Drosophila melanogaster: one gene and its partners. The protein of the gene in region 3 interacts with the protein of the main gene of each other region in a pairwise test. Each region holds a gene or a part of one and is shown on either strand. Other genes may lie near its edges. The genes, in order: Aldh-III, CG10591, CG11379 and CG32579.

Region 1 (8,953 bases), on a different chromosome or scaffold from region 3:
CGTATATGAGGTATGAGTTCGCGATCATGCCCATTGGCGGATGAGTGCTGCTTCGGTCGGTCGGGACGTGGAAATGGCAATTATTCCGGTTACATGCCACAATTCCGTCCGCCGCCGTCTAATTGCATTCAAAGTACAACCACTTGACGGAGTCAAAGTTCCGCCGCGGGCTCATTAATGCATATCGGAACGGAATACAACTAGACTTTAGCATCTCTGCTCCACTATCTTTGGTTCTTATCACGCATGTACTACGGCGGCGTGAAAAGCTCGAGGGCGTGTGGCTCAAAGGTCAAAGCTTGCATTGCGTGTGAAAGTCGGTGGGATCGGATTGAGATCTCCGCCTTTCGTTGGCCCCAATGCAACAATAGCCATGAAAAGTTATTATGCCCCCCGAGCCGAGATCGTATGTATGTACGTACATAGTTAGTTCGCTGACTGCCCTGCCGCAATGGCTTTGTAATGGCCCCCCAGTCATAAAAGCAAACAGAGATACGGTGGCCAGCGGATTGGGAAATCACTTCGCATAAAAGCTCGGTGTGGGGACTTAATGCCTGAAATCTTAATCCTACCTCCAAGCCGCATGGAAAATAATGTACATATATTAAAATGTTAAAATATTGCCCATTACTACAAATGATAAAAATATATGTACCTTCCAAGTGGATATTAAAATCAAACTATGCGATTAAAAGAAGTCATCTAAAGCCAAAGAAGAGATAAATGTCAAATTATACAAAACTCCGCATCGAGTTAAATAAATTAAAAAAAAAATTAAATCACAAATCAATGAAATTCAAAACAAAAGCGGAATAGAATGAAGATGTGAAGATTTCAAATAACTTCCACGGCGATTTTAATTCCAGTCCCGCTTGCTGGAAGTTAACCCACTTCCACTTTCCAGATCCTCCCAACCAATGTAATCAGCGAAATATATGACACAATCTCCACTCAAGCGGCAGTTTTAACGCAATATGTTGGCCAAGACGAGGAGCCTTTGCAAAAAATTAACTGACAGCAAGCGAATAAAGTGCCGAAATAAAAGTAAACTCACCGAAAGCTGACATTCCTGGTCTTTCCACTGGAAAAGGCAAGGCGGGCGCGTTGCAACGTCTGGTCGTTGTTGTTGTTTTTGTTGTTTTCGTTAGCCATCCCAATTGGAGTTTCCAGTCCGACCAACGTTGTTGTAGATGTTGTAGTTGTTGTCATGGTTGTTCGTAGGAGGCAGTTGCGATTTCACATACGCAATAGCAATAGCAACATGCAACACGCATACAGACGGGAGGATAACGACGAAGCGGCGAAAAATTCAAATAAAAATCAAATCAAAATCAAACTAAAATAAGGCGCTTAATGTTCGTTACGTGCACGGAGTTCGTCTGTGTGTGTTTCGTTCATACATTTAACAACATATGTGTCAGTTAAAGTTAATAATCGTTACACATCTCTTTCTCTCGCTCGCAATAAATTGCCTAATTGGACACTCACATCGTCAAAATTGGCCATTCTGTCGGACTCGGATTCGGATTGGAGCTGCTCGGGTTGTTGTTGTTGACTTTCCGGTTGTGATGTGAAGATCCCAATTGGACTTTCGGTTTCTGGTTCTGGTTCTGCGTTTCAGGAGAAAGGGAAAGGGGTCGTGAGCGGGAGCGGGTGGCACGGCAAATGTAAACAACACTGACACTCTTTCACTTTCGTTCGTTACGCATCTACCGTTGTTTCGGTTGTGCGTCTTCTGTTTGTTGTTAAAATTATGTGTACTTTTCGGTACCGTCAGCAGGAAGAAAAAAGATATAAACGCATGCAGTTGACGCGCTTTGACAACCGTTCACCGCGACAACAAAACTTGTATATTTCAAGATTTGGATCGGATCTGAATGCGAAACTTGCTGCCAGTGTGACCGCGCTGGGCTTCGAATTTGTAGCTAAAAAGTGCCAAAGGGCGCCTAATATAAGACGAGCTACAGTCGTAAATTTCGACAATAATAAAGTTTAAAGTGGTTCTTTAAAAATTATCGGGATGTAACTACAGTCTATTGGCGTAAACATTTAAGTTTTCGTTTTATTTGTAAAACAATAGTAAGTGTTAAGTTAATCTTGGTTCATGTCACTGCTAATCCAGTGTTTGCTAATGTCGTTCAGTCTGTAACTTTCCATAGCGGTAAACTTAAACTATGCAAACACGTAACAGTTTTTCAAACACTTATTTATTTTGGCACAACTGCAAAAGAGTAATACTCGTTTCCAACGAAAACAACTGGTTGTTCACTAAATGGCGCAACCTAATTGCACCATAAATAAGCATATCCAGTCGGTGCACAGAAAACAGCTGGCTTACCCAAAAAAAACACTCTGAATTCGCTATTTTAATCTCTCCGAGAACAGAACACACCTTTTCAACGCAAATGCCGGTCGACACTGAGTGGATTGTTACTCCACGAACCGAACATATACTCGACTAGGGCCGCTGGCATTCATTATCAGAACTGAATGCATGTGTATTTCGTTCAGAATGTACATACATAAGCTATATACCAACTGATATGGACACTGGATTTCGGATGGGGAAAGTCAAGCGTGTCGCTCCGATAACGAATCAGTATGTTTTGGACTCGGCTAACACAAGTTCAGAGCATTCTGAACGTTATTCCAGCCTAATCTGCTAATATCAATGGTGTTAATATTAGTTGGACATAGTACACTCCCCACTTTAAACCGAACGCATTTGTTTATATATCGCACTTCTATACTTTCCGATAATAGTGCTTGGTAACGGTGACTCCGATTAAACAAATGACATATAACAATGAGTGCGATTAAACAATATATGACGGAGTCACCATGAGTGAAACTAAATGTGTTTGAGGATTTTAAGTTATTTTTAGCTAAATAATGATGTTACATGCGTGTCCTATAAAAGCTTTCACGCTTATTAAGATTATTAAGATTATTGGACTTTACAATAATGCATATAATTTAAAAACCCCTTAGTTTTTGATCAAGTTTTAAGCTGTACAGGAAAAACTAGATTTCACCCTCTGAGTACTGCTTCTATTTTTATACACATTGTATGCAAAGCTTTTGTGGCATACGAACTTTTTGACTCACCAATATTAATGACAGTAGTTATCGGCCGATCTCCTGCTGCTTTAACGGAAACTCTATAAAATCGGGCATTTTGATAAGTAAGACTTTCATTAGCTTACCATTTATTGGAGCTCCATTGGCCTCCGGATGAGGTTTAATCGCGTTGTCAAACATTATCGTAGTGTTTTTTTGTTTGGTTATAAATTCGCTATTGGGGACACTTTTAAATAGCACAAAAGCTGTAGGGATTCCCAGGAAACGAATGTGGTAAATGTGGTTAACTACTAACTATTAAGTGGCAAATGTCCGAACAAGAAGATTGCACACTTAACTAAGCAAACCAAATGAAAATCAATGTCAATTTGTCAAGTTGTCCTCGTGGGAAAATCAATTAAATAACCAGCTGGCGAAATCCTTCACAAATTCCACATTGACTTACACAAGCTTTTTGGCCCGCCAATTGGTTAAGGTGAACTAAAGATTGAAATATTGTCTAAACAAGAAATATTACAATAGATGATCAATATTTCTAGTATTCATATTAGATTGTAATATTTTTTCCGCCATTGTTTATGGCACAACTTTGCACTTCCTTACGAATAATAGTTTACAACAATACTTGTAAAAATATGGATTTCTATAAGTCGAATTTTTAATAGAATTTCCAAGTTTATAGGGATCAAATGTAAAAGAAATTCTGGGAAACTACAATAGCAAGCAAGTTGGATACTGCGTATTTATTAGTAGAATTCTTCGCGCTCAGTAATGGATATCTAATAGTCGTGACACTCGACAATTTCTTTATTAATTTGAAAGTGCAGCTGTGTTTGATCCCTTTTCATAAATATTTGTACATTTTGACTTGGGGATAAACATAATAAAATAATTGCAAATGATCAAACAAATCGTATACAATTCAAGCTTACGATTTGAAGTCTTTAAAAGCTGAAACAACAATATATCAATGAAAAAACACCCAAATGCACCAGCACTCCATAATCAGTAATCAGTTTCAAGTTCAACCATGCAAATATGGCTGTTGGCCAACACACTCGATGATTCAATGCGAATTGAATTGATTAGCACAGGGGATCACGTTTCTGTATGACAACATATTCACATGGCGTTTATCATGTAACCGACTTCGACTGGATTTGGTTTTCGGTTTTCCGTCTCCAGTTTCACTTTCATTCCAGCATCTGGGCCGGCTAATTGTCAACGCAGTTGGCTAATAAGCGCGAGTGTAGATTAAATAACCACTATCCGGTACTTTGGTTTAAATCCAAGCAAATCTGCGCGCGATAACGCCCGAAAGCCAACTGATTTGAGTGGCGGAGCACTGCCAAGTGGCCACTGGCCGTTGACCACCGCCGCGTGTATCTGGAGGCGGAAAGCCGGACCGATGCACTCGACCACACTTCGGCTGGAGCGGCTTACAGTGAATCGGGTCGCTTAATTACACATGGACACTATGTGCTGGTCTAATTTGTATGCGTAGCCCGCCACTCGAAAAAAAAAAATTAGCCAGCAAACAAGTCGCTGTATTCAAAAGCGTATTGAACACGCACCGGGCACTCGGATTCGAATTCGAATTAGGATTGAATCTCGGATTCACCTGACGCCGCCGCGCTCGAAACACGTCTAAGCCCGGCTAAGCGCTCCAAGTTGGCCCGTACCCGCAGTCGTCGTCGCTTTTCCAGTTTCAGTTTTCTTCGCGTTCTTGATTATCTCGAATCTCGAATCTTAAATCTCAAATCTCGACTTTTGATTTGAATTTCTTAATGGGGGTCTTCGGCGCTAATCACAGGTCGCAGATGCACACGCATTCCCGGCCCAAAGTCACCAGATAATGGTGATGGATGCCAGCCACCTCTCTACTAATCCGAATGACGATACAGTCCGGCTTCTGTGCAACGAACACGCCGTTTAAAAGGCGTTTGTCACATTGCAAAAGAGTGGCACTAATTGGAAAAACTGGAACCACCAACTGCCAATTTACAAACTGGGCGCCTGCGAAAATCTGTTTTTCCTCAAATTAAATCCACATTTTTGATAGTTGCTCATGGCAACTTATTGGGTTCGTCAACTAGACTCGTTTTTTTTTATCATGAAGTAAAGTTGTAACAAATCTGTGCTACAGCAAAAAAAAAACTCTTATAAAAGTGTTACATTCTTTAAATGCTATTTAGAAGCAAAGTTAAGGGCACAAGATATAACTACTGACCAGAAATTATGACTGTAATGAAGGTAGTTTTAATTTGAGATTTGACATCAGTTCTATTTAGGCAGTGCAGCCTGTACCCGATGCCCTAGCCAATTAGGAATAGGGCGAGCCAGGCTAAAGATCGTCCCGTAAACAATAAACTATTTGCCTTTCAGGTGTTTGTTATTTCGAGCAGCTGTTTTGCGGCAGAAGCCAGCAAGTGAAGTGACGGCTAATAAATAACCGGTTATTGATAAGTATTCACTTGCATCGAATCACAGCGGACAGCTTCGCACCCTGACCATGAGATCCGGACAAAAACCTCAGTGCCAGACGTCGTCTGCTTGAGATCGAGAGCTGAGATCCATTAAACAGATCGCGTTTAGTCCAGTAAACCTGCCAATTGGCATATCAGTCCGGATTCTAATGCCGTAATTACCTGTTCTCGCCACTGAAATTAGCTGGTCGCTACCAGCTGGCGGTGGACTTTGGCTCGCTTTGCCCAACTTTACGGCCAGCAAACAATTGTAAAAGTGATTTCGAATGGTGCTCTTTGCACACAAAGCTGCCGCAATTGTAGTCACGCAATTGATGCGATTCCAAATAGTATTCCAACTTTTCAGTTGCCTCGCCAAGTCTCATTATGCCCAGCGGCGTACTTAGCGATTCCTTTTGTCATTCTAATGGCCGCTCGGCACTTTTTCGACAATGCCCGCAACCCATTTGCGTCGCATGTATGTGGGCTCTATGGAGATGGAAGCGTGGCCTTGACCCAGGTTCCGGGTCCGCGTGACGGCATCACCCATTAAACGAGGCAGCTAAAGATGCTGGCATTTGAGAAGTAAATATCTATGGGCTAAAGCCTTATCTTTGTGTCAGAAAGTAACTAAGATTGAAATTAATCATTCTATCAACCAATTCGAAGGTATCATAATGTTTCAATTACGTTTGAAACCCATAATTGACTTAAGATTGGCTTTAATAACCAGATATGTAGAATGACTTGAAGTAATTGCTCCGAATCAATTTCAATCACAATCATGATTACATATCGAGGTATTCAATCAATCCATTCTAAGATTCATTGAACGATCGTATGCAATCCACATCTTCGCTCAGTTTTTCGAGCTCCAACCGGGAGTACGTTACTTACCTTAGATTGGCTTCAAAACCCAGAAATATATTGATTGTTCCCATTCAATTTCAATTCAATTCAACCAATCCATTGTAAGCATTCATATGGAACCATTAGCTAGTTGAACTCTTATGCACCCGTGAGATACAGTAGCCTATCTTTAGGCTTGCGCTGTGGAACTCAAGTGTTCAAGTGAGATAGAAAAAAACGCAGAGCAGTGTCCACAATTATTAGTGTATAATTTATTATTAAATATGTTATAAAATTTGTTTATCGTATAAAATATACTCTTACTCTTGTCTCGTCAAGTCCACACCTATGTACGCTTGTATATATATATATATATATATTCGGGTATATAAATATGTATGTGTATGCATGTATATAGAAAAGTGCCAGACCACGCAGCCACCAGGTGGTGGCGCACCCGTGGTCCGCGCTTGTTTCTGACCTCCTCCTCGCTTTCCACTACTACACAATTACAATTTTAAACTGCAACTCGTTATTGAATCCGTCGCTTGATTTGGTAGATTTCCTAGACTTCGATTTATCGCCTTACTCGGACTTAATAGCTGCTTACTGGTGGGTGTACCTAGTACCCGCACGCCCCTACATATGAATGTATGTACGCTGATGCTGAATGCTGAATACTGCTGAATGCAGATTGCAGATTGCAGAATGCAGAATGCTGAGTGGGTGAAAATGCTTGAGATGCTTTTTGGGTGTGCCAAACGCGATCTCGCCTATCTATCGAGAGCAAATCAAACTAGATGAGATTTAGATTAGCGGGCTAGGAGGGATTTTGGTAATTTGTAATTTGGTAATCATTTGCCCTAGATATATATGTAGATGTATAGTTTTGCGGGCTAGTCTAGGCTAGTCTATGTTAAGTAACTATGTATGTATGTATGTACTGCGACTATGCTTATATGTGTGGTTAGTATGCTGGCTATTTCGCTGAGTCCAGTCCTCCGCTCGAATATGAATATGAATATGAATATGAATATATGAGTACATGCTGTACTTGCTATGCGAAACCAGTAGCTGGCCTATCAATATTTCAACTGCTCCGTGTATGGTTTAACTTAAGCGGTGTGTGTCCGTGTGTGTCCTCCGATCTGGCTTATAATTTAAATTTGTACTCGTTTTGTACTCAATTGCTCCATAATTATTACATATGTTATGTACGTGTATTTATGTATGTATGTATGTATGCTTATGCGTTGCGTATGCGTATGTTTATGTTCATAATTTCCAAATGAGAAATGCTTTCAAATTTAGTTATAATCGTGGGTGTTGTTCTCTTAGAAACTTAATGGCTAAATGATCGCGTCAAAATATATATGTGTATGTATGCATAGTACGTAATTTTAAAGATCTTTTTAGTTGGTAGTGAAATCGTTTCTCTGCTCTGGCCGAGAATTGCTTTTTTTTTTTTTTTTTTTTTTTTTTTGTTTTTTGCATTTGTCGTTTTAAAAGTATTACTCAAAATTGTATTTTGATAAGAGTTCATTCCGTTTGCTTTAGCATCGTCGATCGATTTGTTGTTATGTTTGTTATAAAACGTGGCTTAGTAAATAGTTACATATGTGGGTCTTGCAACGCTCGCTCCTCCTTACATCCTCCTTATATCTTTGAAAAATCTTTGAAATCATCTCACGATGATTTTAGTCATTTAGTCAGGCTGGCGGCTCGCCGACTCGCTTTATCTTAGTCTAAGTAATACGAAAAAAATGTGAATACCTGATTTAAGTTTTGGATTCGTTTAGTGTTCTTTTTATTACATTAGTAGCTACGTGTATATGAGCATTTTGTTTGCTTTAGAATTAATCGTAGGTGTATTTGGGCAACGTGTTTTTGGAATATTCGGTTTATTTGAAAAAATACCTGCTTGCATTTAATTAAGTATTTTTGGTATGTATTTTGTAAAAGTTATTTAACTATCTGTCGTTTGAATGTGTGTATTTGAGTGTAGTGGTTATGTAAGTTATTGGTTTCTCCTTTTGATTCTTAGCCTTTGGCAAATTGTTCAGTATCCTCATGACTTGTAGTAATTGGTTGTGTCTAACATACTCATTATCCTATAGATATATACGTTACGTTTAAATGCTTTTTATTTTGAATTATGGCATTCGGTATTCGCTTAAATCTCTTTAATTGTCTCCTCCCTATTTCTTCATTTCGCTTGTAGTTAATGTTTTTTGTTTCTTTTTCTCACGTGTGTTTTTTTTTTGTTTGTTTTGTTTTGTTTTATTTTTTACACAATTTCTAAACTGTGGCTTTTAGAAAACGGCGCTCATTTGTAATGATATAAGTATTAGTTCTTTAGTATTGGTTTTAGTAAATCTCACACAAATATAAAATATGGCATTTTCTCAGATGTCGCTAGGCCCGATACGATGCGATATATATATGATATATATATATGAGTACATGCGATTTTTTTGGGGATGCTCTGCGTGCATGCGCTTTGTGTGCGAGTAGTGTTTTGAATGATTCGATCTGGATCACAAGAAATGAACGGCGCT
Region 2 (7,898 bases), on a different chromosome or scaffold from region 3:
CCCAGGCAGATGAGCACAATCACAAGGTGAGTCCGGATGCCACATCCCTCGAGCACCGAATACATGATCCACTTTGCCACGCAGTACAATGACCGGGAGGAGGTGGTACTGTGGATGAACACGGTGGGCCCGTACCACAATCGGCAGGAGACGTACGCGTACTTCTCTCTCCCCTTTTGCAGTGGCCAGAAGTCCTCGATATCGCACTACCACGAGACGCTGAGCGAGGCGCTGCAAGGAGTCGAGCTAGAGTTCAGTGGCTACGAGATGGAGTTCAAGAGCGACGCCCCCAAATCGGTCATCTGCATGGTCACCTTGCAGGAGGAGAGCGCCAAGGCATTCACCTATGCCGTGAAGAACGAGTACTGGTACCAGATGTACATCGATGGACTGCCCATTTGGGGAAAAGTCGGTGAGCGCGACGAGCGCGATGGCAAGTACTATATCTTCACGCACAAGAAGTTCGACATCGGCTACAATGGCCAGCAAATCGTGGATATCACCCTGACCACCGAGGGCCGCGAGGAACTCAAGCCGGGATCCCACATCAACTTCTCCTACGAGGTCAACTGGAAGCCCAGCAAGGTGGAGTTCAAGAATCGATTCGACAAGTACCTGGATCCCAACTTCTTCCAGCACAGGGTGCGTATAGTTCAACTAGTTTTACTCCACAACTTTCAAATGAATCATATTCTATATAAATAGCAAGAGGAAAAGGTCAAAGTTTGATGACATCATCTTTTCTTTAATCTTTTCTAGATCCACTGGTTCAGCATCTTCAACAGCTTCATGATGGTCATCTTCCTGGTGGGTCTGGTGTCCATGATTCTGATGCGAACTCTGCGCAAGGATTATGCTCGGTACAGTAAGGACGAGGAAATCGACGACATGGAGCGAGATCTTGGTGATGAATACGGCTGGAAGCAGGTGCATGGCGATGTCTTCCGTTCTCCGCCCAACACACTGCTCTTCTCGGCGTTGGTGGGCGCTGGATACCAACTGATTTCGGTTGTATTCTGTGTGATCATGTTCGCCATAGTTGGTGAATTGTACACGGAACGCGGCTCCATGCTGTCCACGGCTATATTTGTGTATGCCGCCACCTCACCAATCAATGGATACTTTGGAGGATCGCTCTATGCCCGCCTGGGTGGACGCATGTGGATCCGACAGATGCTGGTGTCCGCTTTTACAGTTCCAGTGGCTGTGTGCGGCACGGCTTTCCTGATCAACTTCATTGCCATTGGATATCACGCGTCGAGAGCCATTCCCTTCGGTACCATGGTGGCGGTCACTTGCATCTGCCTGTTTGTCATCCTGCCCTTGACTCTGGTGGGTACTGTCGTGGGCCGCAATCTGGACGGCCAACCAGACTTTCCATGCCGCGTCAACGCGGTGCCACGACCCATTCCCGAAAAGAAGTGGTACATGGAGCCACTGATTATTGTGCTTCTTGGCGGTGTCTTGCCCTTTGGATCCATCTTCATTGAGATGTACTTCATCTTCACCTCCTTCTGGGCGTACAAGATCTACTACGTCTACGGCTTCATGTTGCTGGTTTTCAGCATCCTGACTGTGGTCACCGTGTGCGTCACCATCGTGTGCACCTACTTCCTGCTAAATGCCGAAGATTACCGATGGCAGTGGACGAGTTTCATGGCTGCGGGCTCCACGTCGATTTACGTGTACGCCTATTCCTTCTATTACTTCTTCTTTAAAACCAAGTAAGATGCCTTTTTCTAGCATATTATCCATATATTTATATTTCATTACTTTACAGAATGTTCGGTCTGTTCCAAACGGCCTTCTACTTTGGCTACATGGCACTCTTCAGCGGCGCCTTGGGCATTATCTGCGGCACCGTCGGCTATGTGGGCACGAATCTCTTCGTGCGCAAAATCTATTCCAATGTGAAAATAGACTAAGAGCCCTGCGACTGCAAACCCACCCCCAGATCTGTATATCATCCTAATCGATTAACAATTGTATTTATTGAGTAGAGTTTTAGTTCTGTTTCACAACTTTAGCTCCAGTTGGCTCTCCTCTTTTCGTCTCTTTGGGTTACCCACTTCTCATGTTGGTGTGAAAATGAATGCCAGTCCAATATATTCGCACCAAAGATAAAAGATTCAGTTTAACGATGTATACGCAAACTACATATATCACCTAAAAGGTTTACTTCGGAATTATAAGACTAGACGTTTCAAATGAGAAAATTTGGGAAAACATTGTGAATTAAAAGCTCTTTCTGTTGCATTTACGTTTTGCTAGTTTTAAGAGTCAATTAATCCTATACACTAATTTTTGGTTTTGTAATTTCTACTGTTCCATAAAATAACATTTCTCTACTTACTTAAATTACTAAGAAGCTTGCTTACACAAAATATTTGATATATTTCCGAAGATAACTTTTATGTCATATATGTGCGTATGTTACGTTGCATACGGTGTACATCGAGTATTTTATTTGAATTGTTTGCCTAGAAAACTTATCAATCTATGCAACTGCAACAAAATGTGACTTGAACTTGTTTGCGCCAATTAAGTTATGTACGATGCAAGAAATGTGCTGATTAGCAATAGTCGATAATCTAATAATAAATTCAATATATAAAACCAAAAAAAAAGTTTATGACAGTATAAGCCCCCTTCATCTTGGCCATTATCAGCGAACACACAGATCGTTTCACTTTTACTATTTTTGATTCACTCGGTAACATTGACCCTCAAATTGTTTTCCAATTACTGGGAGGCAAACAACTTCAACGGTCTTATCATCCCATTTATTAGGGGGCCAATTCTGGCACTTCCATTCGTTTTCTTTTCGTTTGGGAGCACAGGATGGATGGAGTACTTTGGGGTTATTCCATGACAACACCATTGATAAAGCCTTTCGGATTCTTGTCGTTAACTGATGATGTTCGATTTGTCTCAAGTAACTGAACTATGTTTATATTACGTATACGACCAATCACTGCAGTGTTTACACACAGTGTGTCTTATACCCTAAAATGTTTGGTGAGCTTTCCAGAATCAACTATATGAATAAATGACTTAAGTTGTTTCAAATACAAGCAACTTTCAAAAATATTATCAGTATAAGTACTGAATAATTTTCCTTCAGCACTAAGTACGTTTTAATTCAAAGTTTCGGAAGTTTGGTAAGATAACCTATGGACATACCTTTGAGATTAGCAGTTTCTAGTAAACAACTATTTTGAAGTGTATCGAATGGTTTCAACTGCTGCCACAAGCCACCCTTCATCCGGATTTACTTCTCTGCTTATCGGGACTTTCAAGAGGCCCAGTGTCATCATAGTTCCAGGGAACGGCGCTAGTTTGGAAGTGAACACCTACGGAGTGGGCACTCGTCCACTAATGACGCGTGTTTTCGGTGGGCTTTGTCTCGTCAATGGAATTCTGTGATAAGTCGGAAATGTTACAGAGCCTTTTCATTTCTAGCCGTGGTAGTGTGGTAACTGATTGGAAACATATTGATTTCGTAATTTATGCTAATTCTGGGCAGTGGAAACTGTAAAGGCGCTTGGGATAATCCCTGAAGAGTTTCCGTTTTGATGAAAAGGCAATTCAAAAATCTGGGTGTCACTTTGATGGGTATCGCCCACATTTGGTCACATAAACTCTACAATCTGATCACTGTTTATGACCTGATAGACAGTTGATGTATTTTTGAAGTTGTCCCGCTGATTGCGGCTGGCTGGCCAAGAATCAAACCGAGAACCCTGCTGACCCAGTTTAAAGGCTTGTCGTCGGGCCTAATGATGTTCGTGTATATTTTGTTGCATAAATTATCATAATTGTCACTGCGCCGACTGGGTGATGGCATTTTTCCTTTTGATCGCTTAGCATTTCCCTTTCGATGGTGGGTTAAGAACAGTTATAGAGATGCGGGAAATGTGTTTTCTGTTCGATCTAGAGATTATTTTGTATATTTTCTATGCATATTAAAACGTAGCTCTCGAGTTTTTCAGCTTATAAAAGCCGAATTCGAATTTTGGATCTCAGTCCGATCTGAAGAGAAATCCGAAGTACATCATGAGTTTTTTGGGACTCTTGGCTTTTCTGGTTGCTGGTAAGTTTATAAAACATTTATAAATTTTTCTACAATATTACAATACCATATATTCCATCAGGTCTTTGCTCCACCGCCCAGGCTTCGTTGGTGAAATGCTCTTGTGATCCTGGTCCACAGGGGGAACGAGGACCTCCAGGTCCGCCTGGACCTCCTGGCAATCAGAACGGTCTCTCTGGCAGTGGTTCTGGCTACTGGGGCTATCCACCCACAGGTCCTTACCCCCCAAATCTGCCTTTCATCCAGGGGCCTAGAGGCTTACCAGGACCGCCTGGTCCTCCTGGATATTGTTTCCCATGCCCAGCTCCTCCACCTTTGAGATCCTTTCCGCCACCGGGAGTTCCAGTCCCTCCTTTCATTTCCACCCCAGGTGGTGGCGGATTTGGTGGAGCCTCTGCATTGACCACCGCTGTGGGCAACATTATAGTGATTCCAGGAGGACCAGGAACGGGATTAGCTGGTCGCGCTCAGTTCTTCCACATTTCACCCGATGGCCAGGTGGTGCAGATCGATCGACCGCAGAATCTGCCCAGTGAACTGTTCGATACACCGGTGAACCAAGGTTCCGGTGCTCCCATTCCTCCACCGCAACCCACATCGTCATCTCTCTCGGGGATCACACCACCAGCAGTCCAAGTGCCACCAACTCAACCCACGCCCGGCGATCTGGGAGCCCAGCAGCCCACAATTTTGCCCGAGAATATGGAGGAAACTGTGTTTGCGGTTGGCAATCGCAAGGACTTCCTGCGAGGTAGCTCCGATGCCAGCGATTGGAGAAGGATTCTCCTCCTGGGAGAGCGACCCACCGATGGTCTACTCAAGGGCCAGTCCGTCCAGCAGCTCAGTCCCAACCAGCTCGAGAGCAGCGTGGAGAACTTCCAGAGGGCTTTGGTCGAACTGAAGGAGAAGTATGCCACGCTCATCCAACCGCGTAACTCAAACCAATATGCAGTCATCATTTGAAGGGAAAACTTAAGATTAAATTTAGTTTAATAATTTAATAAAAACTGTACTGATAATGTCTAAAAAGAATATAAATGACCATTTGATATGGAAGTAGAGGTATTAAGATGTCTCTTTTATGTCTTTCATCTATAGATCTTTTAGTTGTCTGACTTGTTATGTAGAGCTGGCACTTGTGTTATTCGTTCAAGCTTCGTCAACAAAGTACGATATCATTTCTTGGTATTTATAAGATAAATACGGATAAAAATAGAAATACCTATTCGAGGGTAATCCCCCAAAGAATTATGAATTACAATTGTCAACAGTCAATCTGCGTTAAATACGTGAGATTCACAAGAAAAATTCAATCGTCATAACATTGCGATGCCTATTAAATTTTTTTATAAGCATAATAGGCGTGAGTACTTAACGCTTTTTAAGTCTATCAAAACATTTTGAAAATCAATAACGATAATAGGAATTAAAGGTATCAATCCAATCGATTTGATTGGAATCAAGTTTAATTTGCTACAAATGATTTTAATTTAGTTGCAGTCATAACACAGTTAATCAATTTTTGATAGACTTAAATTAAATTTAACTTGTCATTGGTATTGTAAAAATAAAATTCCTTCGAAGCGGTGGGTAAACAATTTTAGAGTTAATTCGTTTAACGTCATTGGATACACTTTTCAGTACAGAAAAGCGATAATTTAATTTCTAAGAATTTGAACTTTGTCAATCAGATTAACTCTTATATTTAAACAATCCTTTTTTATCTTTTTAATTATTTAAGATCAGCTCTGCATAAAAAGTGTTTTGTATACTAGTACCCCACATAATATGTTTTACAGAATGGAACTTTGTAACGAATTTCGATTTTCTTTTGAGACGTAAAAATTGCATGTTCTTAGTCGTTTTATTAAAGTCCATCCTTTTGCGTCATTTGTCTGTACAAAGTCAAAAAAAAAAAAAAATAAGCCACTTATCACCCATTAACGTTTATATTTAATCAGAAGTACATATTTTGTTAAATGTGGTTTTTCTTGGAAGGAATGCCCCATGCATAGCAAAGTCCAATGCGTATTCATTTGGCTCCACAAGTCCTACTATCAAGATCTTAGAATCTACGAATGGAAAAGTACCCATTCGAAAAAATGGTAAGTTGTTAGATAAAAATACAAAAAAAAAAAAACAAATTCCTTTCTCATTTTTCAATCACACCACTGTCAGTTAGAAAAAGTCGCAAATATAAATTGTTCTTATTAATATAATCATATTTAATCGGCCAGCTATTGTCTGCTTATAATCAGACACTATAAGTACATTTGGTTTTTTAACATTGATAGGAAAACGTTTATTGAAGTATTGATTTTAGTAATCCCCGATCGAATTTCTTTTCTCGAGAGCCGCGTGTTCCAGCACCTGTCAAATGTTGAGTATTCATTTAAAACGATAAAGCGTACGTGAGAATCGTCTAGTGGATGCGCTAATTAAGAGTCCTTCTGTCCGTCAATCATCGCCGGATTGGGATTCCTAATCGCAAGCGGTTAGTCCATCGCCCACACAGGCAGCGAATGCCATCATGTGAGGAATGGTGTTCTGTTCGTAGACGCCAGTGAAGAGATGTGCCCAGGGTCCCGAGGCGAAGACACCCACATCCTCGCCGCCATGGGTCTCCGATTCAAGGGGCACCATCGCGGGGAAGAGCTGATCGAAGTCTCCGATTGTGGGCAGACTGGTGGGATCCACGCGCTCGTGGGTCTCCGTATTGTAGTAGTCCTGGAAACTCTTGCCGTTGGCATAGCTCAAGGCCAGATACGGTTTGCCATCCTTGCCATTCGCCTTGGCAGCTCCAAAGATGTCGCTTCCTCGTGGTTGATATCCCGAAACGCTGAAGGTGTGCGAGTGATCCGAGGTCACCACAATGAGGGTCTCCTCCGGGTTGGTCATCTCCCTAGCCTTCTTCACCGCCTTCGAGAGTTCAGCGGTCTCATCCAAAGCAATTCGTGCCATTGTTTCGTGGTGGCTGATGTCGATTTTACCTCCTTCAACGAAAAGGAAGTATCCCTGCTCTTCGGTTTCCAGCACTTCAATGGCCTTCTGTGTCATCTCCTCCAAGGTGGGCTCATTGTTGTCCGGATCGGCCAGTTGCTCCAGATGATAGTGCATGTGGCTCTTGCTGAACAGGCCCAACAATCTACCGGTTTCAGTGGCGTTCACATTGAGCAGCTTCTTCTGCGTTTTCACAAAGGTGTTGCCCGCGTCCAAGGCTTCGAATTCCTCGACGAGATTACGACCATCAGTGCGCCGGCCCTTGTCGTAGTGTTCCGGACTATAGAAGCTTCGCTTGCCTCCACCCAGCATGACCTTGAGTTTGCTGCCCACCTCGCCGTGAATCAACTGGACAGCTATGTCCTGGAGTCCATCTGACAACTCACCGCAGGCCTCCTCGAGAACAGCGTTATTCTCCCATTCACGATCGGCGACATGGGCGTAGACTCCGGATGGCGAGGCGTGGGTCACTCGGGTGGTGGTCACTAGTCCAGCAGCTTTGCCCGCATCCATGGCCCATTTACCCAGGGAGAAGACATGGTTCGTTTCATTGGCCATCGCCGCACAGTCGCCTCGCTTCACATGCGCATTTACGCCGATGGTTCCGTAGTTCGCCTTCACTCCGCAGAGATATGAGGTTGAGGTACAGGCGCTATCGGGGACTATTTTGTCCACCGAATAGGTTTTCGATAGTCCGGTAAAGGGGAATTCTTCGAAGGAGAGCTTCAACTCCTCGCCTCCAATGTAACTCCTGGCAGCAGCCAGAGTAGCCAGTCCCATGCCATCGCCCAAAAACAGTATAATG
Region 3 (7,743 bases):
CTGAAAGGGTCGTGTGAAGAGTGTAAGGCGTTCTATGAATAGTGAATAGAATTCCTCACGATCTAATAAAGTCGATCTATTATATTGATTCAAATGGTTTGCAGGGTGCAAATTCTTCTGAATATTTTATTTACAATATTCTCAAGCTAATTTCTATATAATTTGTTATCGTACAAGCGTTACATAGAAATCTCGCAAACCAGAAGTGTATGCCTTTGTCGATGTTTCACCGGGGTCAGGCCTTTAGTCATTTGCTCCACTTAATGCGGCAAGTGAAAGATGCTTTGGGCTGAGCGCCCCTTTACTTACTCCGCGACTCGGAATAGAGGCAATGATGGCCCTATTTCGATTTGAGCCAGTAAATTCCAAATAAATTTGTCAAATTGTGACAATTAGGAGTAGACAGACCAAATGGCTGGCAGCACTGACGCAACTCCAAGGTTTTGTGGCGCAGCACACACTCTCCAACTGAACCATACTTAACCGTCTCTGTTCCGGTCGGGCGCGAAATAGTGTGTTTTGGTCACTTTCACGCAAATGAAAGAGAAACAAAAACAATGGCCTGCATTCTGCACAAGACCAAGACGACCTTCGGCTGGGGGTTCCAGCCTAAAAGGTGTGTTTGTTTGCTCACTGTCCCCTATTTGGCGCTGTGCAAATAAACAGTCTAGATACGATAACGTCTGGATTTCATTTGTGTTTATTTGGGTTTCGTTAGGTTGGTTTGTTGGGTCTTCTTAGCACGGCGGTGTTTGGGTTGGTGTGAAAACGAAACGAAAGGTGGAAGGCCGCTGAAGAACGACACCAGTGACTCAGATAAAAGGGAGTTATGTAAATTGAATGGGAAGCAAACTGTTTTGCCATATGTGCTATATACTGTCCATTATACTGCTGCTTTTTCCATTATATTAATCGCGGCTCTTGAATTATGGGAAAACCAATTTCTAAAATCACAAGATGGTCGGGTAGGTTGTACTCGTATCGTATTGTGTAACATTTCAAGGTGGAAAGGCTTAGATTGAATTGAGTGGGATATAGACTTGCATAAAATAATCACAGGCTCACTTTACATATATACATATAAGGCTTTATTCCGGAAGAGAAAAAGAGGCTCGAACGTTGCGAGACTTTGGCGGTAGCTGACATCCTATGACCTGGTCCGCAGATACACATGTGGACTATTGACGGAGGCGTCATGGCCTCCGGTCAGTCCCAACGAGGCGGCTGGCAAGTACTCGTTGAGATTAAGCGAGAACGAGGGCGGGAAGTGTTTGTCCTTGGCCTCGCGATTGATCCGATAGGTATTGCGGAAGGCGGCGGCTGGATTGATGGACCCACTGGCGTAACCCTGCAGAGCTGCGTAGTTGGGCGGCAGAGCACTCAAAACAGTGGCCGTTCGTCCTCCGAAGTCTGGCTGTGCGCCGGCGGAGATTGCAGGTTGAGATCCGCTGGCTGCTGCGGCAGCCGAGAGGTACGGCGAAATGGGCACTATGATCGGGCGGGTGGGTATCAGCTGAAGGTACTGAACCGAGTTTCCGGATCCATCCTGGATTGCCTGGGCCGGAAGATACTGCATGAGCATGGGAGTAGACGGTAAACTGGACACACTTGGTGTTCCCGCCGTTTGCATGGGCGTGAAGTTGGTCTCCATCTCGGGCATCTTGTACGAGGGCTTGAATGCCGGATCCGTTTGTGATGGAATCTGGCCCTGAAGCTGATTTTGGACTTGAGCCTGGTTCTGGGCCATGTCATAGCCACTGGCATAGGCACTCAGCGAGTTCAGGTGGGCCTCCTGTTGCTGTTGCTGCTGCTGTTGCACCTGTGGCAGGCCATTCGGGGACTTGGAACCCTTACTAGCTATCTCCGGACTCGAAACGGGGGAACCCTGAAGTAGGGGCATCACCAGGAGCTGCAGCAGGAACAGCTGGCAATGGATGTGAATGTGTCGGTGGCACAGCATCTACACGTAGCGAATAAGAGAAAAGTTAAGGGATCGTGTTCATGAAAAATATTTGCGATAATATATTTTACTTGTTAACCCAAAGGATATTATAAAATAACATTTTGCTGCTTATACCCGAAGCTGATTTTCAGGACGCGAAGTGCATCCGAAATGGAAAAATTGTATCGTAAGCTGCACTTGTAACTGAACTATATCTGCTATAGCAGCTTAGTTAATTCTGCAACACGAAGGTCAGATATTTTGGAACACCTTTCGATTTTATTATAAGCACAGAAAAAAAAAGTATGCGTATTTCACCTCGCTGAATTTTCTCTGCGATTTGAGTTTGAATGCTGCCTGGGAGCGTGGAAAACACTTGCACTTTTCCTGGCGAGCGACGCGCTTTGATTAACACGGCTGCATTGCCAGCCAGGCTTTTATATCGCTCGACGACCCGACCAATTTCCCGCAATTGGCAACAGGCTGCGGCTGCAGTTTTAACCAGTGCGAAACACGACAGCGCGCCAGCAAGCAACAGCATTTGGCTGGCACTGCCTTGGAAGCATTTCAGCGGCATTGTTGCGTGTGCCAGGCTCTTGCATGTCGCTAGTTGCAAGTTGCAAGTTGCTAGTTGCCAGTTGCTATTTGCTAGTTGCCAGTTGCTGTTTGCCGTCGTGGTGTCCATCGCTTTTGGCTACGCTTCAAGTTCAAGTTTACAGCCATCGATCGCGCATCAGAGTAATGGTTTCGTTTTCGCTTTCGATCGACTTGCTTTGCTTTACTTTGAGCCGCTGGGTTCCGTCTTCCGAATCCGAAACCGAAACCGAATCGGTTGTTTGGGGGCGTGTCGCTTTTGGATCTCGGATCGGTCCTCTTCCGCATTGCATATGGGTACGGCTACGGCTAACGAGTTTACAAGTCTTTTTCGGGGGGATGACAGCCCCCAGTGGTTGGCAGTTTGGCCGGTAGTTGTCCGCTTCAAATTGGCTTCATGGATTCGGTCAGAAAGTGGTCTTGCGATTTAATATATGTTCGATTTTTGAGTTTATTTTTTTCTTAAAGAAGCTAAAAGAAACTACGCTTTGAATCGAAATTTACTATTATGGTTATTCATAATTCAATTTATGATGCAGCCCGTTGTGTCCCACTGTGCCTATTAAAACGCTTTTAGTATAATTTGAACCATAAATTTAGCTATTGACTGAGGTAGTGTGATATGGCTGTGGAAGTGGAATGGTCACCCCTCCGTCTCAATTGGCAAAGCTCTGTGCGCTTCCCTGGGATTGGGTCTGCATTGGAGTGCCGGGCTCGAGACTTCCGAAGATCAGCGCGGAGCAGCGGCGATGAAGGGTGCGACGCCAGTCGAGCATCCCGCAGCGGAGCTTCTGGGGCAACGCGGTGGCCCATAGGGAAAGCCACAGAAGACATGCGCCGATCAGGCCGGTAGTCAGGCCCAAAGTCCAGTACTCGCAGACCAGGAAGGTTTGCTCCTCGACGGCCAAGGCCTGGAGTATGCCCACAATGGCGCACTGGCAGAGGGACTCTATGCGATGCCACAGTTTGCTAAGGGTCAGATCCAGCACCAAACAGCAGACGCCTGTCTCCAGTAAGAGCGATGCCCAGGACGACTCATTGCCGCGAAGGTTTCGATTCCCATTCCTGAACCGCTGATCGGCGGGCAGGGCACTTGAAAACATCCTCACCCCGTGAAGAAGGGTCACCACGCAGGCGGAAAAGAGCCAGGCGCCCAAGAGAGGAGCAGCGGAGCCGGGAGATTCGCGAAAGTAGTAGTAGTACGAGATGCCCAGTACCGAGTGAAGCAACACCGCCATGATCAAGGCCATTAGTCGAGCCATCTCCAGATGTCCTCCTAGGTGTACACTTCCAGTTTTACGGGAGTAAATTCGGGTCAGAAAGCCTTAAACTGAATTATTCAACTGACTTTTAAAGCAGCAGTCACTACTTGGTTAACTCCGAACACTTGTGTACAAGTATTCCTTGTTATTTTAAGAAGTGATACAAAAAGCAAGTTGTAAACTCTGTTAAAGTTTTTAAAGGCAATATTTAATATATTCGATGTTATCTTTTCAATTTATAATTTATATATTATGATTTATACAGCATTCTTGCGTGGCAGAATACCCCATCGGTAATGGCATAGGTTTCCTCTTTGTGTAATCACAGTCACTGTCTGCGTCACAGTTGAAGTCACAGACACCGCGCCAATTGCAATTATCACCACAAGTCAAACAGGCTCAGATGTCAAGGCCTTGTTTTCCTCATTTTCAGTGGGCTCATTACGTGAGGCAAGTGGAAATGGGAAATGTGCTCGATAGTAGTCAGCTTACTTTCATTTTTGTTTCGGCCAAAGCTTTGCGGCTCCAACTTTTGGACTTTAAAGCTTGAGCATGATCATGGAGAAACTCATAGATAAGCTCTTCCAGATCTTTATATGTACAATAATATATATGTACGTCTGGTAAACCAAGATGATTTATAAAATGATTAGGCTGGTTGGCATGGAATAAAATTTCTTGCATGCACTTGCTCCGCACTGTTCTCTGCCGACATGACGTCCCAATCCTGGTGATGCTGCTCCGCTTGCTCTGTCAGCAAGTCATAAATCTTCGGCTTCAACTGAACTTGATACATCAAAATGTTGGTCAAATTAAATTTCTTGCGCCTCGTCCTTTCCCGCACAGCTCGCCCCCGCCCCGCCCGCTGCTCCTTGATTCTCCCAGGGATTTCACTAGGAGCAGCTGCCAAGTAATTCGTCAAGCTGCTTTGTCCTCCTCCAGCGGCTGTTCTTATCTCATCTCTGGGTGAGCATTGTTGCTCCGCTCCTCTGTGCTGTGCTGTGCTGTTCTGTACTGTTCATCTGTCTGACTCCACCACCTACCAATCTACCTACCGACCTACCACCCCCATCCCTGTATCCCTGTATCGCCCCGTTTTGGCTGGCTTTCATGTCAACTGCATTTTTCTTTTGCTGTGTTGCTTGTTGTGTGCTGTGCGCTTTTTCACTGCTTTAAACCACTTAATGGGTTTTTTTTATGTGGACCTGGGTTAGATGGAAAAGCGCAAGGAGTGGGAGGCGGCCTGGCGGTGCCTCGGGGCTATTCATGCTGCAGCTTTCTTGTAGCTTCATTCACAAAGACTTGCAATTCATCAAATCTCGTTAGCCTCGGCTTTTATAGAAAATCTGCAGCTGCTTTTGCTTCTGCTTTTCTTTTCGGGGTTTCGGGGGGCTGTGCTCCTCTCATTCATCTGCCACGCCCACGGACACGGAGTGGGCGTGGCCGAAGCTTCAGCACCGATTCGAATCCCCGTCCGCATCCGCTTTACCATTTCCAAACGGCATCCTATCCTCTGGGATCCTCTGTCATTATTGACTGGCAACGACTTTAAGGCAACTTTTGTTCCGCTCCCATGCGCTTAACTTTAAGGGCTTTACCTTCTCCACCTGAGCTGAGCTCCGATCCATGCTTCTTCCTTTGAGCTAATGAAAAGTGTGTGTCTCCCAAAATGGAGTGGAATCCTTGCAGCTGCAGCTTGCATCATCAGGCTCTCCCAGCGAATAGCTCGTCTAAATAAAAGTAAACCAAAGCTCTGCCAAGGAGCAACAATAAACGAGTTGGCCAATGCATTTTTAATGCAACCAACCACCCAACCACCTGTACAAATCCGTTAGGGAGGAATGGGGATGCTCTCGAGGTTCTCTAGGTAGCCTCAAAAATGTTTCCAGAATTGGGGCACATGTTGCCACCACATTGCGATTAAATGACCCTTTTGTGCTTCCTTCACAACAATTTTCTGGGATCAGCACTATGATTCGGCAACACTGAGAGGTGTGGAACATGTGGGTAAATAGAAATTTGTAAATACGAAGAAAATCAGTTATTCAACACTGGTCTGGTGTGGGACCAACACTGTTCGCATAATATATGCATTTGACTCACCTAGCAAACAACGCGCTACCAATACTGTTTTGTCTGTTAGCCAAGTGATGGCAAAGCATTTGCGCCGCACTTTGGCTAAGTGGGAGAAGGCGAGCACTTCGAGCTGGGAAGCAGCTGCTCCTGGGCACCTCCAGCCTGCCACCAACTCAGCCTGCTTCTTCATTTGCTCCCTCTTGGCAAAGAGCCCCATATCACGCACAGGCAAACATTGCAAGGACCCCAAATGCATTCAATTAACAATTTCTCCGGCCCTAGACCTGGCACACAACTTTGCTGGCTGCTGGAACTGGGAACTAAAAAAGTGGGAACAGGAGGCGGTGGTGGCTTTTAATCAAAAACTTGCATTTGCCAAGTGGCAGGGCAACTTTTTGGGCCAAGTTTGTGCGGCGCCAGAAGTGGGTAAACTTCTCCAAATTGTGACGTCGACAAAAGTCAAATCGTGCCGACTCGCAGCACCCTGAAGGCCTCACATGTTCATGACGCTGCACGATTGCAATCAGGGGAATGTGTTTTGGGGTGCGGAATTAAAAGATACCGTATTAGAAGTACCATGATGCAATAATATAAATTAATATATATTTTTTTATATCAACCCGCCCGCTTCCCGCTTCCAACAATATTGTATCTACATATGATCCAGATTATTTCTAATGACCTATGCATATGCGAGTGATTTACGAGTAAATACAGTTGTTGCTTGCATGCGCGTGAATTAGGGCTTCATTTATGAATCATAATGCAATCATTGATTACGATTCGTTACGCGTTGTGGCAGCAACCATTCTGGACGTTGTCAGTCAGCAAGTGAATGCCGTAAATTGCCAGGAGGGGACTATAGACAGACTCTGTGGAAATTCGAAGCATTGCTGAGAAATGAGCGTAACCGAAGCCAAACACCCGCATGGAGCAAATGGAGCTCCACCTTCAGGCCATCCCCACTCGTTTTCCCTTCTGTTTGCCTCGCCCACTCCATTTGAAAAGTACTTTTAAAGGACGAGGACGTGGAGGGGTTGGGATGGAGGATGGAGGATGGCTGGCGGGCTCGTGCCATTTAGCAAAAGTAATTAAGCGTCAATGCGTTTCATTTGTGTTACTTTTCTGGGCAATTACGGCGCAAAGTTTGCAGTTTTGAAGTAGTGCGGCGCAAAATGTTCATTGTTAAAGCCAGACCGACTCACCAGACGACGAAAAAGATTTTATTCCGCCGCGCGAGAATCGATCGCAAAAAGTGGATACTTGGTGTTTGATATTGCGTCAACAGGTGAGCCCAGCGTCCTGGACCGACAGACTGAACTGTCGACTGCTATCAGCGTTTTCTACTCCATCATCATTATGGTAACCGTCATTGGGGCTCGGAAGCAACATTTTACCAACTACCGGGAATCCGTCCACTGGCCACTGCAATGTGCTAAAAGTGTTTCTCATTAAAAAGTTGTTTCACAATTTTATTATCCTGTCGTTACCGAGGTATTTGTAGTCCAGAGTCCGTAGTCATCTCCCTCGACTTCATCCTTGTCCTTGTCCAGGTGCTCGTTGCTTCAATGTGACAAGCTGAGCTCAACCGGGGTGACAATGTCAATAAAGCAAACTTCGCACCCGGCGAAAAGCCCTGCGGACCCCCCTCATAAAATAATTTTTAAATTACTTGTAAAAATAACAGCTAAAGCAGGAGCAAAAAGTTTCAATAAAAGTAGGGTAAACAAAAATTATAGCGAGCGGGAGGAAACAGAACGGAGCAAAACAAAAGCATTTACGATGCTCAAGGGATGGAAACCAGGAATTATCGTTGCATAGTTTGGCGGACACAATTTACACAGAAATTAAGCTTTCACAAGTATTTTT
Region 4 (8,489 bases), about 15 Mb from region 3:
CTTTGCAAATGCACTAGAATTTGAGCAATTTTCCAATTCACCCAGTAATCGAGACAATTGTATAAATTAGTCAAGTAAATGCTTTTCCTAATGCCGCTTCTCTATAAATCTTCAATTGTTTAGTGTAGTAATTCGGCGTGAAGTGCAGAATTTTTCGCGCACTGCATGTATGTTCAAGTGTGCGTATGTACATATGTATGTCCTATTGGAAGGAAAATCCTAGACATGTGGCTTGGTTTACTTGGCGGGCAATGACTTTATTCCCAGGCCACTAAAAATATACATCAAGCATTCGCGTTTCCTATTCTTTTTCTCTATTCAAAAATTAGGTGTACATTACATCATCGGCGGAATTAATAGTGAGTTCATGTTTGCAAACGGGTTTACAGAACTCGCGCATTCACACCCGAATATCTCTGTGTGTACACTGTACATCTGCGCGTACATTACCCGCATGCACACATGTACATATGCAAGCACGACAAGAACATACAGACATACGCGAGTGACCGCTTAGAGGTTATGTTCGTGTATTGATCTGCATGTGTGTATGGGTATGAGCCACACATACGCAGACCACGCCGGAATGTACATATATAGCACACATGCACAGATGCATATAAAATACCGGTAAAAATTGCACACCATTTCGGCCAAAGTTTGCCGACACGTCAATTAAAATAAGGAAAATTCCATTCTATAAAGATAATACCACCAAATGGCCGATTTGCGGGGGTTGGTGCTCCTGCTTGCCTGTTTGCTCAAAATTCAGCGATGTAGAGATAATTATAGAGATTTTCCGATTAAACGCGCCTGTCCAATTGGGTTGGAAAATTGAAAATTTACCCATAGCGCATTGTCATGCAATTAGTCATGGAAAGTAATTGCACTTGTCGCTTATAAATTAGAGGGCGAGTTTGCGCTGTGTGTATATTTGGTACAAGTTTTAAATCCGTAAAAATAAAAAGAAAAAAACGGTATGTACTTATCACCTGAGGCAAATAATGTAAAACACAGTCTTAGCTTTAGGCGTAAGAAATGGCTTTATGGGAAATCACGTGTTTTTCACTTTCTGGTCAAATGTCACAAAAAAAAAAACCTCAACTTAAGTTTAAAATTAAAAAAAAAGGGCAAATAACTCACCTCCATGACGATCCGACCGAGGGGCTCGTTGTCGGCGGTCATATCAAAAAACACCCTAGGCAAAGTACTCATCTTTGACGCTTTCGAATATTCGCGAACAATCTGAATTCCAAACTGCAACTGACCCCTATTCACACTGCACGCTGACGAAGCTAGGGTTATAGATTTGTTAGCTAAAATGGCGGACTCCGCAATCTGAAATGCCGCTGCCGACCTGTGCCGAAACTGTCGAATCAGAGTTGCACAAAAAGAGACCATCGTGTATGGCTTGCGACCGCATGTACGATACTACGATATCGTTCCGTGCGTTCCATTCCGCGCGTTTCGCTGCTGCTGCGGTCGCAGCAATTGTTACATCACTTTAGGGCGCCCATAAACGCACTTTGTGCTGCCCATTCCCCCATCAAAACGGATAAATGGTCGCGTTCATGCGCCCTTTTTACAATTTTTATAATAAATAAATACATTTACTTGCGCTCATTTGAAACCGCCAATCGAAACAACGCATTCGCCTTCGTTAAGTAAATATCTTACAAAAAATTACAGCATCGTGATCAGCGATCACTCCTAAAAATCAAATATTTTTTTGCTTTTAAAGAGCCATTAAAATATAAAACTTAAAGTTGAAATAAACACAAGACTATTAAAAAATTAAGATAATTGAAAAATAGTGGTCACTTTGAAATAACCATTATTCTAAAACAGCACATTGTAAACCCAAAAATCACGGCGAAATCACAGGATTATTATAAAGACTTTTTAAGCATAAATTGTTAAAGCATATATGCAGCTATTTCTATAGCTTTTTAAAAACAAATGTATTAATTATTTTTATACATGTATTCATTATTTTAAATTACTTGTTTTAAATATTAACGTTTCGATAGTTCAATTGTGCGTGTCGCATTTTCTATTTTGCCATTTTAAACTATAGTTAATAACTAATAATAGTGTTTTACAGTATTAAGTCTTACAAACTTTTAAATGTAATTTGGAGAAACGATGGAAAATAAATAAATAAATATAAATAATTTTTGTTTAAATGGCACGATAAAAAATAATTGACCTAACAAGACAGCCTGTTTCAAAATTATTTTTCGATTACTTGAAATGATTGCTCACAAATAATCAGCAATTATCGGAACAATGTTTTCAAATTTGTTTTCCGCTTTTTCTCGCGCCTTTTGTTGTGGTTTTTCTGCCGCGAAATTTGAAAATGGCGTTCAAGGTGAAAACTAGTTGGTGATTCATTTCTGAAAACGTAATGAATGCAGCTGCACGGTCTCAACTACTCTGAGTACTTTTCACCACCTAATTGACCTTTAACTCCCAGTTTAAATGAACTCGTCCTTCTTTTTACATTTATCACTTTATTATTACAATAATGATACGTATATTCATTTACAAAACATATCCATTCATTGTTTTTACATATATAGCATTTCATTTCCCAAACCCATACCCGATCCACTATGAAATAGTGAGATTACCATTTGCCTCCCTCAGTGAATTTAAATGAAAGAGATTAATACAAACCCAACTCGAATCAGAACCGCAAGCCACGCCATTTCATTAAACGGAAATAAAGCATTAGATAAACGCATGACAAAGGCCAGAAGAATTTCTGATTCAGAAGTAAAACTAGAAGGAAGTATAAGCATTGTTTACAATACTACATACATACATACATCAATTGGCAATTAATTACATAAATTAGAAGCACCAAACAAAAACGATATGGCTGGCTAGCCTGGAGCAGCAGCACCTTGGCATGCTTATCCCCGAAAGCGGTTGAACTATGGACACCTGTTCCACGGCTACATGCATATTAATATAAGCGAAGCAAAAGCTTAAAAACAGTGATTATCGTGCTCTTTGATTAATCGCTTTGGAATGCCAAAGTCAAAGCGTTGAGAAGGCGTTTTACAGATTCGGATTCGAGATATATAGCGGACGCCCAGACTTAGAACTAAGAAGACTTTTGTAGAGCGAATCGCAGGATTAGCAAAAAGATGCCCACATGGGTCCACACTTGATGGAATACCCGACTCCCTCCGCTGGCGGCAGCCGCAACGAGCGGCGATTTCTGATTGTCACGGCACATCGTTTGGTTCCGAATGAAGTTGAACATGGACTCGACGAGATTCGCCGGTGTTATGTCCGAGCATTGCTCCAGTTTACGGACCACACACGCCTGCAGAGTCAGCATCTCGTCGCACTGTTTCTGACCGACCGTCAGCTTGGGCATGCTCCTGATGCGGTTGTCCTGCAGATCCGACACGTTCAGGTACTCGGAGAACGTGCTGTTCACGCACTGCTGAATGTTGTCCTTCTGGGACTCAATGCATTCGGGTCCCTTTTCGGCAATGAACAGGGCTATCTGATCGCCATCCTTGTGGCACACAAAGTTGAGCAGACTCTGGATGATCTGCTTAATGACATCCTGGCCCTCGCGCTCCTCCTGCACCAGACAGGGCACCAGTTTGGCCGTGAACGCATCCACACACTCGACGGCATTCGAACGCCGGCTGCAGTACTTGTTGAAGACCACATCCAGTTCGCCCTTGGGCGACGCTTCCTGTATCTCCTGCTGCATTGCCGTGTAGTTGACAATGCCATTGAGGCACTCGGTTAGCACCATGAATCCGGACTCGATCTCGCCGTATGCCTCGACGCCCGCCTCCTCGCCGGCCACCTCGATGCATTTGTTGCGAAATAGCTCCTTGGCGTCGTTCACGCTAAAGTTTGACTTCCTCAGCTGGTCGGGCAGCTGGGTCTGGATCTGATCCAGGTCTAGCTGGGCCATTATGCCGGCAGTGGCGAATATAACCAGCCAAATGGCGTATATCGCATGGCTTACATATGTCCTGTGCATGATGTTTGCTGTATTTTTTGCACTCCTCTTTGTCTTTTTGCTTGCCTCCTCTTCCGTTATTCTCCTTTGCTCTGGTTTTTAAGCTCTGAGATTTGCACTTTTGTTTGTGATTCTATGCGCTTCAAGCAAACATATTTGTTCGTTTTGCGAAATATGCCTATGCCTTTGGGCAATTGGAAAAAATTAATTTAATTAGGAAATCACTGGATGGAAATCCCAATTGGAGATTCTATCCCACCCGTCGGCTAGAGATGGCACTTCGTCGATGACGCTTTCGATGCAACAGCTCACTATCGGCTTTCCGCCGATAAAAGCGTACGATCGATCTATCTCTAGTTCAAATGAACAAGTTCTCGTAGAATTCAGTCTTTATTCTAATCTTCAGTGTTTTGTTTTTTTTTTTAGTCGAAAACCAGTGTCAGCAAGTTGAAGGCGAGAGTAGTTTGGAGGTCGAGGCCTTGGATATTTGTGTGTGGCTAGGGTGGCACATGTGCAATAAGGAGGCGGAGGAGACATGGCCTCCGCGGAGCAAAGAACCGAAGTGGACGCCCTTATGATGGGGCCGATCTCGAAACTAAGCATGCTGCTCACTGTGGTGTCCATTCTGTGGCGCTTCGTCTCGATTTGCATCAACTGGAGCCTGGCGTACGTGTACTGGATGGAGGAGTCCTACGGATACTGCGCCTGGACCATTGGCTCCATTCTGGTGCCCATGGTGGTCACATCGGTCATATATATACATACGTATGTGACATATCGCGATAGCGTGTACTTCCCCCGAAATCTACAGCTAAACGATAAATTTGTATTTGAATTTCAGCTTGAAGAGCGCTCATGCCGGCGAAAAACGCATCCTGGAGCGAGGGGTGTACTCAAATGCTGTGATCTCATATCTCTTCCGCGATGTCTATGTCCTAAACTATGCGTTCAAATACTCGTTGGCCAAGGAGCGGGATGACAAGCAGGCGGAGATCGAGTGAGTAATGCTAGTGTCAGTGTATAAAACTAGTTAATAGTAGCTTAATGCCCTAAATGGTAGTACTGCCGTTTAGTTTATCTTCTCTTTTCATCATAAGTGAGCACTTTAGAATGTTTATAACGAATATCTGAATTCTTATCTTACAGATATTACCAAAAACTCATGACGGAGGAGTGCAATGTTAGTTTCGTTCGTCTATTCGACTCGTTTTTGGAATCAGCACCGCAGAAAATACTACAGCTGGCAATTCTTTTGCAATCGACATTGGAGTTCACATGTAATACGATATTAATACTACATTAGTGCCATATTTCAATCTCTCTCTCTCTCTGCCTTAATTAAGATAACTAATGCATAAGTAATTTAAGCTTATAAACACCAAATTCTGACGTTCACTTTCGCAAATCAAAGTCAGTTTAGGCGTTTAGCCTAACTCATTGATTGTAGCCAACGAAAGTGAAACTCGGAATGGAAAGTCGATGGATGCCATTTACCCATTCAAATTTCTTTTCCCAGACTACCGCCACATCGCCCTGATCGTCTACTTCGGCAACATAGCGTGGTGCATCCAGGCGTACAATCACTCCAATCGCCTGGCCCAACTGGACAAACATGATATTGCGGCGAAGGGACGATTTCTGCAATTTCTCTTCCTGCTCTGCCTCACTGGTTAGTAGTAGTTAGTTAGCTGTGTTGCTTAGAATGTGTATATTAAGCTTTTAGTTATTCGCTTTTATTTCGTAGTTTCGAGAACGCTTTGCATCGCGTATGTGGCCAGTATTTTTCCCATCGAAACGCTGATCATCTGCGCGACACTGGCTTGCTTTTACGGCACCATTGTGTTCTTTGTGGACTCGCCAATGATCGCAAAATCCCGCCCCATGAACTATTCGTACTGCCTGTGCTTTGGCGTTGTCTATCTATTTATTTTTACGCCCGTCAAGGATGCACCAACCAAATATAAGTACGCCTTCTATCTCACATTCTGTTTGTTGCAAAATATCATCGCCTGCGCTTTGTACATTCCCTTGTATCTTGCCACAGCCATCATTGCCTTGTATATTGTCGGAATTGTTCTGTTAATAATCTACTACACGTACTGCCATCCAAATACTGTGCGTACTTATTTTTAAAATTCTAGCATAATTAGTAGCATTTTGTATATTTGCAATAAACGTTGTTATGCCCACTTGTGATGCGCCTTTGATTTTCAATTGGCTTAAGCTGGTTTCAGATCTAATCTAATATCTAATATGCATTGTGTTTTTATTAGAGGATATATACATACATACATACACACATATGTATATGCAAATTTGATTTCATTTCTAGATTTTCTATCGATATTTGACCATCGATTAACTGATAGTTAGGTTTTAAATTTAGTTAGAACTTTTCTTTGTAGCGGAACATCAACTAAAGGATATATATAGATATATATAATATAAATGTGAACTATATGAATTGAATGTGACACAATATAGTCGCACATACATATATATGTACATACATCTATGTTTGTATTTAAGTGTCATTAAAAAGATGTCATATTTATGTGTTAATCCCGTGTACTTAATTTGAAGCGCTTACTAAATATTTTTCAAATGCAATGCCTTTCTGTTCAACTAGTTCCCAAATATTGATCAGCAAATGCATCATAATTGAATCGATCATTCCAGATGCGCATGCGCAACGCGCCAAGATGATGGAGTCGCGTATCTGAACTGGCGCATCTGGAACCAGTTGGCGGAGTCGGTGGCTGCGATGGAGTTTGGGGCGCAATTAAAACGGTTCCCGCAGATGAACCGAACGGAACCGGTTCGGGATCGAAGCTAGAGTTGGCTAAGCTAGTTGGCATTGTATATTTCATGCAGCTGGTTAACTTTCACTTCGGCTACGAGGGGCGGAGACCAAGGCAAATCGCAGTGGGACTACGACTAGCAGGCATCAGGATAGCAACTCGAAAGCGGAAGTGATGCAAAGGATATCGAAGCCCAGAAGATGGCATCCAAATACGAGCGCATACTGAGCGATTGCAGATCGAAGAACGTGCTGTGGGAAGACCCCGATTTCCCCGCGGTCCAGTCTTCGGTCTTCTACTACCAGACACCGCCGTTCACCTTCCAATGGAAGCGTATCATGGATTTGGCGGATAGTGGCTCCGGTGCGGTGGCTGCCAACAGTTCGGCGGCACCAGTGTTCCTCAACGAATCGGCGGAGTTCGATGTGGTGCCTGGCAAAATGGGCGATCGCTGGCTGGTCTCCTGCCTGGGACTGTTGAGTTCCCTGAGGAATCTCTTCTATCGCGTGGTGCCCGCCGATCAGACACTGGCCAGTGCTCACGGCGTCTTTCGTTTCCGTTTGTGGTGGTGCGGCGAGTGGGTGGAGGTACTGGTCGACGACCGTCTGCCCACCATCAATGGACGGCTGGCGTTCATGCAGCCGCAGGCATCCAATTGCTTTTGGGCCGCCCTGCTGGAGAAGGCCATTGCCAAGTTGCACGGCTCCTACGAGGCCCTCAAGTACGGCACTCGTTCCGACGGACTCACTGATCTCCTGGGCGGCGTGGTCCGGCAAATGCCCATCCTGTCGGACAACATCAGGCCACAGACGCTGAAGGAGCTACTCACCACCACCTGCATTGTCACCTGCTTGGCGGACAAGAGCGCAACCGTGGCCAAGAAGAATCTCGCCGAGCGCATGCCCAATGGGATTCTGGTGAACGTTAACTACAGGTAGGACATCCATCGATCTATTACCTTCTAATGTCTTTACTACTGCAACGACCATTTGCCATTGAAACTTACAGACTCTCCAGCCTGGACAAGGTGAAGACCCTGATGGGTGACTCGGTGCAGCTGGTGTGCCTGAAGGACACGTTCTCGAGCAAGCCGTTCGGCGAGAAGACGCACTTCCTCGGCGACTGGTCACCGATGTCCAAGACGTGGGAGCGTGTCTCGCAGGTGGAGCGAGCGCGTCTCATCCGGCAACTTGGTCCCGGCGAGTTTTGGCTGTCGTTCTGCGACTTTGTGGAGATTTTTAGCACCATGGAGGTGGTGTACCTGGACACGGAGACGTCCAACGACGAGGAGATGCTAAAGAGTCGTCCGCTGCACTGGAAGATGAAAATGCACCAGGGCCAGTGGAAGCGAGGCGTCACCGCCGGTGGTTGTCGCAATCACGAGTCGTTCCATATCAACCCCCAGCTACTGATATCCGTGCAGGATGAGCAGGATCTGGTAATTGCCCTCAATCAGCACACGGCCGTGGAGCCGAAGGTCATTGGCTTTACGATGTACACATGGGATGGCGAGTATATGCTCAGCGAGTGCCTGCAGAAGGACTTCTTCAAGAACCATGTGAGCTATCTGAACTCGGACTATGGGAATACGCGGCACGTTAGCTATCATACGCACCTGGAGGCGGGTCACTACGTCCTCATACCGACCACCTATGAGCCGGCGGAGGAGGCACATTTCACGGTCCGCATCC

The links.
Region 1: the proteins of CG11379 (region 3) and Aldh-III interact in a two-hybrid assay, tested with the Drosophila melanogaster proteins (one large-scale study listed by BioGRID).
Region 2: the proteins of CG11379 (region 3) and CG10591 interact in a two-hybrid assay, tested with the Drosophila melanogaster proteins (one large-scale study listed by BioGRID).
Region 4: the proteins of CG11379 (region 3) and CG32579 interact in a two-hybrid assay, tested with the Drosophila melanogaster proteins (one large-scale study listed by BioGRID).

The regions. Positions count from the first base shown.
Region 1 is NT_033778.4:7,472,234-7,481,186, forward strand, and holds the start of Aldh-III (aldehyde dehydrogenase type III), read right to left. Parts: upstream 4,930-8,953; 5' UTR 4,014-4,929; intron 3,327-4,013; 5' UTR 3,262-3,326; coding exon 3,207-3,261; intron 3,148-3,206; coding exon 3,109-3,147; intron 2,427-3,108; exon of another isoform or gene 2,339-2,426; intron 1,898-2,338; exon of another isoform or gene 1,611-1,897; coding exon 1,489-1,610; intron 1,114-1,488; coding exon 1,055-1,113; intron 1-1,054.
Region 2 is NT_037436.4:5,595,816-5,603,713, reverse strand, and holds CG10591 (uncharacterized protein), read left to right. Parts: upstream 1-4,021; 5' UTR 4,022-4,056; coding exon 4,057-4,093; intron 4,094-4,154; coding exon 4,155-5,056; 3' UTR 5,057-5,157; downstream 5,158-7,898. Other genes in the region: TM9SF3 (transmembrane 9 superfamily protein member 3), read left to right, coding at 1-26, 85-642, 760-1,724, 1,781-1,925; Alp9 (alkaline phosphatase 9), read right to left, coding at 6,575-7,898.
Region 3 is NC_004354.4:1,176,319-1,184,061, reverse strand, and holds CG11379 (uncharacterized protein), read right to left. Parts: upstream 3,898-7,743; 5' UTR 3,799-3,897; coding exon 3,193-3,798; 3' UTR 2,511-3,192; downstream 1-2,510. Other genes in the region: CG14627 (uncharacterized protein), read right to left, coding at 1,148-1,960.
Region 4 is NC_004354.4:16,318,936-16,327,424, forward strand, and holds CG32579 (uncharacterized protein), read left to right. Parts: upstream 1-4,350; 5' UTR 4,351-4,532; coding exon 4,533-4,762; intron 4,763-4,838; coding exon 4,839-4,994; intron 4,995-5,143; coding exon 5,144-5,274; intron 5,275-5,513; coding exon 5,514-5,666; intron 5,667-5,720; coding exon 5,721-6,130; 3' UTR 6,131-6,185; downstream 6,186-8,489. Other genes in the region: Cyp1 (cyclophilin 1), read right to left, coding at 1,144-1,401; CG9917 (uncharacterized protein), read right to left, coding at 3,113-4,018; CalpC (calpain C), read left to right, coding at 6,999-7,732, 7,807-8,489.